Linked DNA regions of Drosophila melanogaster. The protein of the gene in region 1 purifies or fractionates together with the protein of each later gene. This does not show direct contact. Each region holds a gene or a part of one and is shown on either strand. Other genes may lie near its edges.

Evidence for each region.
Region 2: the proteins of kek5 (region 1) and kek2 purify together in Drosophila melanogaster (affinity purification with western blotting; one study listed by BioGRID). This does not show direct contact.

The regions. Positions count from the first base shown.
Region 1 is NC_004354.4:19,350,047-19,358,310, reverse strand, and holds the start of kek5 (kekkon 5), read right to left. Parts: upstream 5,131-8,264; 5' UTR 4,658-5,130; intron 1-4,657.
Region 2 is NT_033779.5:11,578,352-11,586,298, reverse strand, and holds the start of kek2 (kekkon 2), read right to left. Parts: upstream 4,363-7,947; 5' UTR 3,197-4,362; intron 867-3,196; exon of another isoform or gene 776-866; coding exon of another isoform or gene 1-775. Other genes in the region: Mst33A, read left to right, coding at 1-775.

The sequences.
Region 1 (8,264 bases):
AGTTTTTGAGATATGAATTTTCGAAAAAGTTCGAAAATTTTCGAAAATCAAAAATTTCGCTTTTTTCAAAATTTTTTTTTTTAAATCGCAATAACATCGTTTGCCCACGTTTGCCCACCCTTTAGAATTTTGAAAAAATGTATACTTTAGAAAATATAAGGCTTTTAAGTTTACCTCGGTCTAATCAGAGAGTAAATCGTTTGCCCATCTCTTAAAACCAAATATTATCAACAAAAAAGGTTTGCCCAACCATTATTATTAGTTTTTATCGTTTGCCCACCCTTTAAAAAACCTTTAACAAAAATTTTTTTTCGATTGCCCACATTTAAAATACACCCAATTTCGTTAGCCCACCTCTTTAAAATAAAAATTTCCAAAAAAAACGTTTGCCCACCATTTAAAACTAAATAATTTCGTTTGCCCATCCTTCAAAATTCATTTTTAACGTTTGCCCACCCTTTAAAAATAAATTATTTCGTTTGCCCACCCTTTAAAATTTGTTTTTTTCGTTTGCCCACTCTTAAAACTAAATAATTTCGATTGCCCACCTTTTAAAACTAAATAATTTCGTTTGCCCATCCTTTAAAATTCATTTTTAACGTTTGCCCACCCTTTAAAAATAAATTATTTCGTTTGCCCACCCTTTGTAAACTGTAAATTACAAGATTGGCAATCGGAACCAATTTTTGGTCTATATAAACCCAGAAACACCTGTGCGTCTGCACGTGTTATGTAGGCAGATCCTAAAACTAGGAAAGTGGCACGTGTTTATATGGTGGGCAATAGAATTTATTTATTCTTAAGATTTTAGGATGGGCAAACGAAATTATTTAGTTTTAAAAGGTGGGCAATCGAAATTATTTAGTTTTAAGAGTGGGCAAACGAAAAAAACTAATAATAATGGTTGGGCAAACCTTTTTTGTTGATAATATTTGGTTTTAAGAGATGGGCAAACGATTTACTCTCTGATTAGACCGAGGTAAACTTAAAAGCCTTATATTTTCTAAAGTATACATTTTTTCAAAATTCTAAAGGGTGGGCAAACGTGGGCAAACGATGTTATTGCGATTTAAAAAAAAAAATTTTGAAAAAAGCGAAATTTTTGATTTTCGAAAATTTTCGAACTTTTTCGAAAATTCATATCTCAAAAACTGGACGTGGGCAAAAAAAACTAATTGGTGGGCAAACATGGGCAAAAAATGGGCAAACGATTCCAGCTTTCAAATTTCAAAAATTCGATTTTTCCGACCCCAGCTTCTTTGAGCTTTCAAGAACACCAATATGAAACAAATACAAAAATAAAATACCAATAGTAGAGTTCGATAGACTCCAATGATAATTTGAAAGCATCCCGTTATGGCCATTCCAAGACTCTTTGTCATTGCGCTGGGAAACCCTCAGGCATTTTACGAGGAGCACTTGGTGGTGGTTGGGTGGTGTTATCCATCTTCTGCAGTGGAACACAGTGACTTGGCCTCAAGTCCAGTAAAGTCGAAAACGTTTTCGATATTCAGCTCAACATTGGGAGCTTATGTGTGAAATGTGTGTGTGAAATGCCTTGGTTCGCATCTATGTATGTACACATGCCACAAGACTGCTGATGCATCGTTTATCACCACTTTTTTGTTTGGTGACTTCCCATATCCCAAGTTGACATACGACCAATTCCAATTTCAAATCAATGACCTCAAGTGTACCCTCTACTCGTTTGATAATTTTCGTTTGCTGTTGTTATTTTCCCTGTGTTGTTTACGAATATTTAGATAACGTCTTTTTCGAGTGCCGTCGGTGGAAAAAATGCGGTGACAATTACAAGCGTGCGATGTTTAAACAATTTCCGACTCCGGCATTCGGGTCATTGTCTTGATAAAAGAAAAAAAAAATCGAGCTCTATCAAAAGCTTACCAGTTCCCCCAAGCCAATTGTACTTTAAAATGTTGAGGTAGTTTTAATGAACTTCGAATTCGTCGCTTCTGCAGTCGACTGACTGACAGTCCAACCACAAAATTGCCACAGGCATACAGCCAAAAAATTCAGCTTAAGCCAGACGCAAATCGCACTGAAAACTTCGTCTCGTCTCGTCTTGTCAACAAATTGAAGGTAAATCTCTTCAAGTACTTTTTGCTTAACGTTATTTATGATTTTTCTAAAATCCTTATTCAGGCTTTCCTTGGATAATCTTTAATTACACTTACTTGGGTTGAATGTAATATTACAGATGTGAGATGTTCAAAGCCATAGAAAAGAAAATCCCTTTCATGTGCTTATTTGGTTTTTAATTGTAAATCTTATTTATTGCAGAACGTTTTTTACAACATTTTATCTATAAGATTGACGACTAATCTATGCTATGTATGTATGTACATATGGCTTCAAGTGCTTGTTTATAAATGTCTCACATGTTCCTTTTAGTATCATTTCGATTAATGGTTCATGTAGAAAATAAAAAAAAAAACAATACTTAAGTGAATTTTGTTTAATAATTGCTTTCAATCAAATACATACATACACATTTCTAATTGGTCTTGATCGTTTTTGTGGCAACTGTACATATTGTATGGGTACCAAATTTGTTGTTTCTGTTTGATCCAAGTGTTTTGTGAGACAAAAATTAAGTGTAGATTTCTGCACCGCTTTTCTATGTTACTCAGTAGAAAGAGTAGGGAATATTTGTCTTTTGAAGTGGAAAATCTATTTTCGTCATGAGGAAATCATAATAGTCGTACGCATCCCTAAATCGAAAAATTCCATTTCTGTCATATTTAATTTGGCTTGTAGTAAAAAGGCGCCCCAAAATTAGATCCATAATCATATTATACCATTTAATACCCATAAAAATTTAGGGTAGTAAACATAAATTTTGACTACAGATTTTATATTTTCCGTAAATAACGCGCACTATTTTAATTTATAGCATTTCTAGGATAGTATACATATGTATAAACTCCATTTCCGTCAAAAGATTGATGAAACCAGATGAAGCATTCCTCAAAGCGAATGCATACACTGCATACACATCAAAAATGTTTGGGCGTGGGTATATCCTCCAATTGTTTCCCAACAACTCTTATTGGCACTTTTTCTTGTGGTCTTAATTTCTGGGCCGCAATATTCGCATCTTTGCTAATCCCTTTGTTTGTTTTTAGCTTTCCCGATTTCCCCTGTCCTCCTGCTACATTTTCGCTCCTTTCGCCTGCAGTTCTTATTCGTCCCAAGGATAAATTCATGAAAACAAAAAGTGCTCCGCCAAAAACACCAACTCACACACACACACACACACACACGCACCTACATACCTACCAATAATACCAAGGTAATAGCACCCGCAGAAACACACGCACACTTCGACAGTACCACTGGCGGCTAACTGTACTGCATGGACAAACACACAAAAAAGCGAACAAGAAAGTAAGCCGAAACTTACATACCCTTGCAGTAATAATACAAAACACCTGTATACCGAGCAATACTTCATGATTAAGAACCGATGATTATTTTATCACTTTCAGTTAATTTTCTTATTTTTCCTATGACAGCTATGTACATGATGCAATAGCTATAAAACTGAGACTTTTTTTTATGGAAATGGACAGACAAACGGACAGGTGGACCGTTAATTAGACTCTAAATACTGATCATGATATTCCGATATACCGAATTTAATGTGCCATCTGCAAGGGTATATAACCTGAAATAAGAACAGAGAAAAAGTTAAGTTTCTCTTCTGTTCGCTGTCTTCTAATTTCTGTTCGTGCTTTTGTTCTTCCCTTACTGGTTTGTTTTGTTTTGTTTTGTTCTGCGTTTGTTTGTTTGTTTTTCTTTCTTTCTTAATTTTTGGCAACGTCAATTACACGCGAAACTTCTTGCCTGAGTGCTTAACCCTTGGCAGGGCGCGCAGGTAGTGAGCGCTCTCGTATTAACCCTACAGCGCTCACGCACACACGCGTGAAATATGCAGAATATATGGTTGCAAATTAAATATCATATTGCATATTAGCCACCAATTTGCAACGGGATCAGTGTATTCTGGCTAAACGAATTAAGTTAGTTCAGTGGGGAAAACAGCGATCTCCGTGCGGATGGTTCGTTACTTCAGTTTTTGGGGGTTAATGGCTTTTAAACTGCAGACTGCACTTTACGTACATACGTACATATATACCTAAATATATATGTTTATATATACATATGTAATATGTATGTTTTCTTCATTTCTTTGCCTTTCCCTTATTTTCCTGCCTTCGGAAACGCAAATGATGCAGTTTGTTTGATTCATTTGACATTACAATTGCTGCAGCTGCACGTTGTTGTTCTCGTTTTGTTGTTGCTGCTGCTTCTGGCGATGCTGCATTTTGCTTCAGTTTCAGTTTTTCATGTTTTTCCAAGCACAAACCACGCTGCAGTCGCTGCTGTTGTCGTTGTTGTTGTTGTTATCATTGCTGCTTCTGTTGTTTTGCAGGTAAGTCGAAGATGAGTGTTGAACCGGTTCAACGGGTACACACGACTACCATTGAAAGAAGCCACATACGTACATGAAGACAGACACACACACTCTCACACACGGGCAGCACTTACACTCTCCCTCCCGCTCGCTCGCTCTATCTCTCCCACTCGCACTCTATGCACTTATTTTAACTCTTTATCTCTCCACTCTCTTTACCACGCTTTGTGTTGATCCGCTCTCCGCTCCGTTATTTACTCCACGGCGTGACTTTTCCAAATATAATCACCTTTTGGCTTTAGCTGCTTGTGAGGGGGTTGAAGTGGTGTGTGGGTGGGGGGGGCTTGTTGTTGTTTTCGTTTAAGGGGTATCACTTGCAAGTAACCGAAAAAAAAGTGTGAGTAATGCACTCCGGGACAGCCGCAACAGCCGCGTGTTTGGCGGCGTTCGAAAAAAAAAGCAAACACACACACACTAGCCGCCACTCAACTCAAGTGAACTCCACGCGACGCGAGGCGAGTCGAGACGACTTTTCGTGTTTCGTTAACCGCGACTGTCCATTCAATTGGCGGCAACAACTGACTGCTTCGCGCACTCGAGTACGTACATATGTGTATGTGGGTGGGCGATGCGCTCGACGTTTCACTCTAGCAACAACCTACGCGACCGGCGTTTGCAACAACACTGCGACGCACATCTGTTCGAGAGCAGGCCGCTCGAGCCGCATCGAACCGAGTCGCAGCGAACCGAACCGAACTAAGCCGAGCCGTCATGCAACATGTTCGACTGGAACGTCAGCTGAGGGGTTGCAACAGCAACAAAGCACTGAAACAAAACGTGTGTAACGAATTATAAAATCAAATTTACGGCGATTTTTCACTTAATGAATGTATACAAAAACAAAAAAAATTAAAATCAATAATTTTTTTTCAATAAAAAAAAATAATTTTAGTTATCACCATAATCAAATCAAACAAAACCATGGTACGAAAGTCGTGACAATTTTACCCTTAACGATTCTGATGCCAATGAAATGTGTTTTTTTTTTTTTGTCTTATTGTACAGCTAGGATGTTGAGATTAAGCATACATGTTCTATACATAAACATAGACGCAGAGCCAGTTTGTTGACCCATTTTGCCACGCCCACTCTAACGCTCACAAGCCGCCAAAAACTACCCAAGCAATTTTTAAATAGTTTCTTATTTCATTCCCCAATAATATCTACCTAAGAAAAATGTTAAAATTTCGCGTTCGCATTTCCATTAGCCAAGTAACCGATATACTCGACTATAGATTCTCCCTTCTCAAGAACAGAGCTCAGTACAAAATATATACATATGTATTCAAAAAATCAGTTGAACACAAAATAAGAATTTCAGCTCCATCGCGAACGTTAGAAACTGAATGAATTCATCAGCCAGTTGACAGAAGTTTGATTTTAAGACCTCTGATCGTCGAACAAAATGGAAAGGAGCTGCTGCTTGGTAGTGCAATTCATTTTAAAATTTCAGCGGCTAGCATCATTAATTACGTCACCGGCGAAAAAAGAAGGAAAGTGAAGCGTTCTCTGTGCCCCTGAATAACTGCGAAGAATTAAGTACGTCAGTAAGGGGAGAGCATACACGCGCCCATGTGTGGAGCCAGCCAGATACACTGCGAGAAACGAGTGGCAATTCCAATCCAATACATAAATATGTAAGGTTCCCTTTACATAAAATTAAATAGTAAGGTATCATGGGAAACCAGTACACATTGATAATAGCATAAGAGCAATGGCATTATTACTACATTTCAATGAAAGATACTTTAAATTGCTTAATTTTGGAAGTTTTCGATGTTTGTTATTATGCCTTAATATTAATATAGCTTTATTTCCTATTTATTTATAAGAGATACCAGAAAGTGAAGCTAATTTTTTATTAGACCTGAAGATTTAAGAGGCATACGCAGCGCAAGTTAGTTGTCAAGTAATGTTGGCACCTCCACTTTAACGCCCACAAATCGCTCAAATCTGCCACGCCTACACTTCTTGAAAATGTTTTGAAATGTAAAAGTCGACAACTAATTATGGACACCCTAATTTTAAATTTGGTTAATTTGATTTCTAATTAAAAAAATTTAAACAAGCAAAGTAAATCTTTTACAGAAAAAATACTGGTTTTTTTATTTATTTAAAAAACGCATCTTTTGTTATAGGGAAATAGAAGTGTTGGCGAGCAATCGATTTTTTCGCCAATTGATTGTGTAAGTTTTAAAATAAAAGATGTATATTTTTTTGATTTGAAATGCAGAAACTAAATGAAATGCTGCTCGATCATGATAGGTTACAATTGGTATTGCAGCATTTTGAAATGTACAGTAGACTAAACACAGATGGACGCCAAATTAATTATGACAAATTATGCTATAAACTGGGCACATAAGCACCAAATCAAGCTAGGATCATAAAAATAGAACACACATTTCATGAGAACAAGGTAACCATCTTCTATGTTCGTTTTATTTAATATTCTTTTATATCCTTCCTATCTAGGACTTACATATATTTTCATTTGGTGAGTAAACATTTCAACAACTGCGAACATATAAAACACAAGAATAACACACTCCACTTACAATATTTTACGTTTTCTCTATTTTAGTTGGTTAAATGTTTAAAATTGTTTTGTTTTTTGCTTTTATTTAAAGATCGACTCTATTCAGGCATAATAACTTATATAGTTTTAGAGAATATTCAATGAATATTTCCTCCAAAAGGAAAAAGACATTGACACCAATGATGTGGAATCTTCTATTCTGTATCTTCTATTCTGTATCTGTATCTGTAAATGAAGAACTAAAACCATATGAAAATATGAACATCTTGCTGAAGGAGCAGCTGACTCAGTTGAGTTGGTGAGCTAGCTTTAGATTTTAGATTGATTAATGAACATGAACTTTAACAATAAGTTGCTCTTAATGGCGACTCCGATGAACCCAAACGGAGGACTCCTTGAAGCGCACCATCAGCCAGGTGGCGTTGCAGGCGACGGAGGAGGAGCCAACTAAAGTGACTGGTGACTAAAGTAGCCAGGCTCATCACCATTTCCAGCTGGCCCTGCAGTTGGATGTGCTAGTTGGATGCAGGTTTCCCCATTTCGGTCGACTTCGGTCACTATCACCATCATCATCTTCCTTGCTTGGAAAAGTTGTACGAGATCGATTTGGACAACTATGCGGCTGAGGAGTTTGCGGATCTATCTGGAGAGCACTGCCAAGTGCGCATTTCTCGGCAGGAGTACGTGTACCTGGCGAATATGGATTTGAACTGGGTCCATCCATCCACTGGACATGTCTATCGGGAGCCATTGCCCAGGCTTTATTACCCAGCTTATATTCCCAAGAAGGATGCCCAATTGGCTTGATAAATTTTAAGTTTTGGGTAATATAATTAAAATATATAATTGAAAGGTGTAACTTATAACCTACAATATTTATGTATTTGCATTCATCTGAGAGTCAAGCTTTTCAGTCCAAACTGTGGACACTGATGACGTTCTCATTGCAACATCCGCTGATGATGCCGCAGTTCTAGTCAGAAACCCCTTTCCACAGGAGTATGTTTGTTGCTTTGAAAAATTGACGCAGGATTGGAACAAACAGGAATAAACAGTAGCAAATGAGCAAAGTTTATGTTTTCGATCAGACCTGGAATATATACGCATCTTGGATCCGTGCTGGAGCATAAGTCGTATGGAAAATATCTTGGGATTATCTATACTTTGGCTATGTTGTCAAAAGTTGCGAAAATATCGTGGCTCCTGTCTCCTAGTATCAAGCTCTCC
Region 2 (7,947 bases), on another chromosome or scaffold:
AAATAAACCGTTTGTGAACTTTCTCCAGGATTTCTCCATAGCTCATGGTTCCGTACCCCGAGAAAGTATTCAGCAGGCCATCGTCGAGTGGGATAAACTGACAGCTGAGCAAAAACAAGAATATACTCCTGAAAACTACGTTCTAAAATTATGTGATCAAGTGCATAATCGTGACGAAATTTTAAATGCAGCTACACTGCATCCGGTATATCCAATTACAACCAAAATACAGAATGCATTTAATGAAGCCAGTACGTCCATGAAATCTGAAAAGTATGCGAAGAAGATCTCGTCCCCAAAAATACGTAAGACAATTAAGCGTTTAAAACCAAAACCACGAGTTCTGGTGACTCCCAGAAAATCAGCCAAAAATGCTGGCAAAAAGAATATAATTTATAGTGGTTCGGCTTACAAAAACTTTCTGCGAAAAACCGGTCAAGCCAATCCCGGTCTGATGATTGTGGAAAAGGCCTCATTATGGCGTAAAATGACTCCTGCCGAAAGGGATCTCTATCGGAATGTGAGCAGACCAAGGCGCCAGAACACCAAAGTATCCAGAGTTGACGCTCCCAAGCGCGAAAAGAAGCGTAAAACCTCACAGTTCACCCAGATTTCAGAAAGTGATTTTTCGGAAACTAATTTCAATATTCAGCGAGATGGCCAGCTAGAAGTTTGGAATGGAAGTACAAATTCCCTAGAGGAGGCAAACGGCTCCTGGTTCAAATTTGGATACATTGCTAAAGCACTTGGAACAGTCAAGAGTATATTTAAATAACTATTTCTTTTACAAATATTGTACAAAACATTTGCATAACTATAAAAAGCATTGTAAGCACGCAATTAAACACCAAGGTCAAAGGCGAAGGAAATTCGAAAGTTATTTTTATTACGGTTTACAAAACCGCAAATCGTGAAATCCCTTAAATTGATTTTGATTCAGTTTTTTTCACGAATTTCACTAAGCTTGGTGTGGCATTTGTCCTAAATGTATTTCTTAAGTCAGTCGAAACGGGTTGAAGTTTTAATTCTCCCTATACGGAATTATTCATCTGTTTGTGCAACTTGTAGCTCTGCCACTGCCATCTCCTCTCAACCCGCCACAATCATCGCCGATTTGTGGGTGGACTGGACGGACACCGAGATGAGTCGATGGGGCCTTTGTCTACACTCGACTTTCCTGCATTGGTTCCTGCTCCTGGGCTAACAAATTTCTCGCCATTGTTTACTCGGTTCAGAGTGCGTTCAGAGTCGTTCCAGCCCCCTGAACTCTCATAGCTGCTTCCGTTTCCGGCTTTGTTTTCGTTCCGTTTCGTTCGAAGAGCCCGGGGCTAGCTTTCCACATTTGGTGTTTATTTTATTGTACATTTGCTGCCGGCAATTCCGCTGAGCCGTGAACTGTTCGGCGTGTCATCATTCGCCTTGGCTTCAGTTGCTGAACATCATCATCATCATTATCATCAGACCCGGAATCACCAACATTATCACCACCGCCATATCCATATATGAGAGGTAAATTTCCACGGCGGCCCTAGACGCAAGGACAAGGTTGGGTCGGAGTTGGACGGTGTTGATGTCTGTGCACGTTGTTGTGTTCTGGCTGCTGTTATTGTTGTCTTTCGGTTGCTTTTTAACGTGCGCCCTTCGTGTTATTTACTTAACAATTTACTGAATAATTTACACTCCCCCCCTACCTTCCGCCCAGCGGATGGTGAAAGCTATCGTGTTGGGCATATTGGGCCAGGAAGTCAGCGTGCAGTGGAGTTTATAGATGCACAAAAACTTGGGCGCACAAATTGGTTTAGAATTTTTAAAATATTTGAACAGATTTATATAAAAATTTAAAATGAAAACAATTAAAATAAAAACATTTTAAATAAGACCATTTTCCCTCAAACGCACAGTTTAATTTAATTTTACTTTTACTGGAAAGTGGAATAGCTGGGTAGCATTTAGTCTAGCTGAAGCCAGGAAATTTTCCATAAGTTGCCTGTATTTTTTCGTTGCCGCTTCGCTTCCTGTTTGCTCCTTGCTGGCCACCCCCACCGCGCATCCCCCTCCACTTTCCACTGATGGGCGTTGAGTTATGAACCTGACTTTCCTTTTGGGGGTTTCGGTGTGGGGGGCTCAGTGGAAAGTAAAACTTTCACCTGTGCTGTGAGCCCGTGAGCCTGTATTTGTGTGTGTGTGTGTGGCTTGGTGTGGTTGATAGTTGTCCACAGAATCACACACACAGTAAAGTTACATACGCTTGTGTTTACTTAGTCGAGTCTTTGACTGACATTTAATGCGGTTAGCATACGTGTGTGCGTGTTCGCTTCACTGTGTTGATAATGTGCATAATAAGCCCTAATTAATGTTAAATAATGAATTTTCTCATTTGCACGCCGTCAGCGTTGAAAAGGCACTGCCTTCGGCATTTGCTCGATTCCATTTCATTTCGAGACAAACACACGTCTTTCGAAAATACTTGCTTCGAAATACTTGCAGTTTAACCCCCCGATTGCCACAAAAAAGGTTCCAATTTCGAGCAGATGGGGAGGTTAGAAATGGGGGCATGGCGAGTTCCTTTGTTGTGGTTCGTGCACCTTTCCTTTTTTTGAAATTTACCAAAGCCACAGCACAAACATTTCAAATAAATATCAGCAAGTTTTTCTTCAGGGTACTTTGTGTGTTTGGTAATTAAATGACCTTATCAAAGGGGCTTTATCTGGTTCGCAAGCCATTTGACAACCGTAATTTACACGAGCTTAATTGAATGTTGAACAAATTAATGACAAGAGCCGAAGGTTACTTCCCAAAAGGGTTGTATCTGCAAACAAATACTGGCCATTCAATTATTTGGAGCTCCTGTCCAAAGTTGTTGGAACTCTTTTATAAGTCCAAACTCCTGGTGAACTTCATTGCCAATCCCCCAATGAAGCCAATCCTCACAATGCCCAACTTCTCGTGGCCAACTCTTTTAAATCGAACACTTTTGTTTATTTACAAGCATTTAACTGAATTATACAAGCAACTTTGCGCATAACAAATATCGAATTTGGCTCCTTCGACCCCAAAATCGTAATGCGGGTTAAGATGAGGAGGAGTTCGAGCATATAAAAAGTTCAAACTGTCAGAACTTTGACAGCAATATTGTTGAGTTATATGTACAACAAGCGGAATAACTAAAACAGTGCAGAAATTAGAAACAACATACCGAAAATGTCCGAAAAACTTTGCCCTCGTCGAATCCTGCAACTTTTTCGCCTCGATTCTTATTAAGGATGTTGCTTTTGTTGTTTAGCCGATGATGTTGACGGTGGTGGTGCTGTTGTTGTCGCAGGAGAAAATCAATGTCGGCATATTTTATCCTTTTTTCATAGCCAGGCACAAATATACATGAAACATACATATACAAATAAAATACACCACTACACTGACACAGCAAAGGAGTAGGAAATCCAACCGAGAAGCCAGAAAAACAGTTGCCAAACTCAGCGTTTTTTTTTTATATGTATATGGCAGTTGATTAGCCGCCTGATGCTGTGGATTTTTATTATTACTTTGTTTGATTTTTTGCCCAACTTGGTTTTTCCTTGTTCGGTTTTTATGGGCCTTGATTTGATTGCATTTTGTTTGTGGAATATATATATGTATTTTTTGCTGTTTGCGCTGGCACTTTCGCTGACAGCCCTTGAGGCAATTATTTTTTAGACCCGAAATCGCTTACAACGTTTCAATATTTTGTTTGATTTTGTAGTGAATACATGTTGCAGCGAGTGCTCCTCAAGTTTGTTGTTTGTTTTATTTTATCTTTGCCCCCTCTGTTATTTTTCTCTTGTCACTTTTCGAGGTGGGTGGCATGCGCTGAGTGGCATGTCAATCAAAAATCAATCAAAATGTTCGCGTTTTCGCGCTCGTTAGCGTTTACACATGTTGTTGTCGCTGGCTTCTCAAATTGCGGCAAATGGATTTCAGGTTGTTTTCCGAATTTCCCGTCTCGCGTTACCCGGCGCACTCGGAAAATTCTTATGGCGACACGTACTGCTGCCCCCTCCCAAACTCTTGCCTCTTTCCACTTGCCACTGTACACAGACACACACACACACGCACAGAAACAGGGAAACCCAGGCACCAAGGAGCTAACTGCGGGTTTAGTTGAGTTAACTACGGATTAGTTGACCACCTGGTCAGGACCTTTGGCTCTTGGCAGCTCTAATTCCGGCGGAGTGCTCCACGGGCGGGTTTACGGATCCGTCCGGTTCGGAGCGAAAATAACGGAGCGGAACGGACTCGAACGGATCGACTGCGGCGTGTCTGTCGCTCACGGCGTACGCTTTTCAACTGCTGCGCCCGCAACGCTCGACGGATTTCCAGGCAGGCAGACGCCTCCGCCAAGTGGAAACCAAGCGGAGTTCGGCCTCCTCTCTCGGCAGCGTCCTCGTGCCTCGTTTTTCACTCGGCAAACAAACTGTTATACACGCTCTCTCCCGAGAGAGCGAGAGATTGTGTAGAAGAGAAAGAGCCGCAAGGGAAAGTCGCCCACCACTTTCACCGGTCTCTCAGCTACCTTATTTATATTTTCAATGTGATTTATATGCCTATTAAAAACCAAATCAACGGGACTTGTCAATTGCATACTATTAACAATTGATATGACAACTTAAGTAACATAAATACTAAATACAACTTGATAAAAATTTACCTACAATTCAGAAATTCATATAAAATAGATATAACATATAAAATGGAAATATTCGTATTGAACGGAAGCAACCAGAATACAGTAGTTATGAAGAGATTAAAGAAAATGCAATAATAAAATATATTTAAATAAAATATGTTGTTTAAACATATACATGCCTGGGCAACATTTTTAAGTTATAAATCTTTATTATTGTTATTGTTTGTGATCTCCTTGCCCGCTTTCTTGGTGAACACTATTCCGTTCTATTTTATATCCGGCCCTTTTCAGTATAAGAGCAATCATACAAACTGTTCCCAGATAATTTCCCCCTATGGGATGCTCTCCTAGTATCACAGTTGTTATAACAGAGCACTCGTTAAGGGAGTCGGCGCCACTCTGGAAATTCAAAGCGCACAGCCTGAAAAGCCAACCTCAACACTAGCAGCTGACTGACCGAGCGGGTGGAAAAACTTCACCACGGACTCTGGCGTGAAAACTCCCAAGCTGAAGTCCTCAGCCGGCGGGATATGTGGCCGGAATCGGAGGCTTCAGTTGCCAGTGCATTTCCCCACCGCCCACACACAGCCCCGCCCAAATACCCGTGACACCGAGCGAAGCGGGTCCCTGCGGAGGTGCCGAAAATCCATTTTGGCCAGAACCGAAGCCAAGAAGAAGTCTTGGGGTAAAATATAGAAGTGGGCGGTTGGCGAAAGCCAGCAGCGAAAAATATCGATTCGGTTCGATTGTTGTTGCCTGGCTGCCCGAATTGTATATTGCTTTATAAGCAGCTTCTGTCTTCGACAAAATATATATATATATGTATGAAAAAGGAAAAAACAGAAGAAAATCAGCAGACCCTGCCCTGCGGTTGCTTATTTGGCTGCTTTAGTTTCGATGCCATCAAGCGAAGTCCTTTTCGCGATTTCAAAACTGGAAAAAAAATAGAAATAAAACCAGAGATGGGAATTTTTCGTTTTACGCTGTTTTTCTTGTTTGATGCCTCTCCTTCTATCGAAATGAGTAAATAACCAATGAAGCAGATAGAAATGTTTATTGTTATTCTTCGGGGCTTTCTCTGCTTTGCGTGCTCCTCCTTGGTCATTCAAATCAATTCCGTAGGCAGCTTGTAGCTAAGTTTGTATCTCCGATTTCATCTGCATTTTTATTTAAATTTACATTGGCCCGGCATCAAGGAGACAAGATTGTCGTCTTGCCGAGTAAACGAGCCATTGCACATTATGAATGTTGGCTTACAATCTTTGTCCTCCTCCGCGAAAATTCTCCTTTGTCGGGAAGTACAATAATTAAGGCTGCGTTAAGTATACGCACCTTGGGCGCGGAGTGGTGCGGCTTGTTCGCCGTGTTCTCGGCTCCACTCGCGCATAGTTTGTGTCGCATTAAAACTATTTAAGTTTTTAATGCCCTAACAGCGATGATCTTGTGCCTGGCATATAAATTACTCAGGCGCCCCTTTGGCCCCGCCGTCTTTGCATTAACAGGGCTTCAAAGGCCTCCGCCCTGCCGACACCCACCATCGTCACCCATCATCGCCACCCAACAGCCAGCTGAACGTCCTTGCCATCGAGCGTGGAAAGCGCGGAAGCAGCGAAGCTCCAAGATGTTGAGCACTTTGCCAAAGTTTTTACTTGGCTCGTTGGCAATTTTTACTTTGTTGCTTTATAGGGATTTATGTTTAATCGGCCAAAGGTTACTTCGAATCACCCGCACATACTTACCCACACATTTGCTCTTTGGCAGGCCGACATGTTAAAAGCTCCTTTGTTTTACAGATAGAACGAAGGACGAAAGGATAGGGGTAGTGAAATGCGTTACTTGCACTGTCAACGCCGAAAGTGGAAGTAAGTTATCCTTATGTGAATCACCTTAATAAATCGAACGATATTTCTTTAAATTCATTTATAAAGTCGGGGCTATCGGGGTTTTTAAGTATCATTAAATTTAAAAACAAGTTGTTCCCTGATAAGTAAAAAGATCATCATCAAAAGTTCAAAAAAGTTATTTTTTTTCTCTTTTTTCGTAAACCATCTAACTTAAATGTACAGCTTTAAAAATTAATTAAATATTTCAAAGCTCTTTTGCCGGCAGCTTTTTAACAATATTATTCCATTAAATACCCGGCAAAGAGCAAATAAATAATCCAACTGCGAACTGAATTGCATTTACCCCTCGCTGTTGGCCGTTCATTAACCCGCTCTTAGCCGTTTATTTACTTGGATAAACTGTTACAATTGTCCCCAGCTCAGGTTCGGTCAATAAACGAACTTTCATTGGCTTAATTGTAGAAGTGGCAGCAGCTGCATGCAAAGCAATCCCTTCTAGAGTTTGCACTTCAACAAATGGATATAGCCGTTTGAGAAGTCATTTCCGATTAGCTTTACTTATTTTGTAAGCACTACAGTAACCTGATACTTTTCATCAGCTAAACAAGTCCATTGATAAACGTTTCGTATAGTTTTAGAAGATTAAGAAGAAGCGACTGATTCCCAAACTACACAGAAGTGGGTCCAACTAGCGACGGTAGTATTATTGTATTCCCACAAATCTAGATCCAGGTACTCAAAGTTTTAGCGACATATTGAATATATGATTATAGACTTAAATCTAAAAATGATAACACTATATTAGATGACATAACAACCCGTTAATACAAGCCTCAAAGTTTGGCCATGCAATTTTGAGGCAGTCCTACGAGCTTTCTACAGTACTCACTCGGCGAAGGACGAACATTGATTGGTGTGCGAGACGTAGTTCTTTGATTTGTGTCTAGACCGATGAGCGCGTGCCTCAATGTTGGTGGAAAATGGAGGACTCGAGGAATCGAGAAGGCAACTTGGCTTACGAAAATTCATAGCCTGAGCGCGAAAGTTTATTAGATGCCCTTTGCTCTCTGCCTTTGTCTTTGCTTTTGTTGCCGTTGCCTTTGAAACGTAGCCAGAATTTTAATTTCCGCCTAGAGCGTGTCGCACGTGGCCGCACTGTCAAGGAAGTTGACAAAGCCGACAGCTCCTTTGAGTTTCAGCCAAGTACCGCCGACCTTTGTGGGCGTTGTGGGCCATCAAGTTGGACGGCGGTCTGTAATTATGACCTCCTCTAGTTAAGACTCCAAATAGTTGACCTTAAAGCTAATGAAAAGTGTTGGCATACCTCTAAAATAGAGCGGAGTAAATTGAAAAAATTATAAAATAAAAAATAAACAGACAGGGAAACGGATATGGGAAATAGTTGGCGATTGTTTTCGACGCATTCGAGCGTTCGATGCA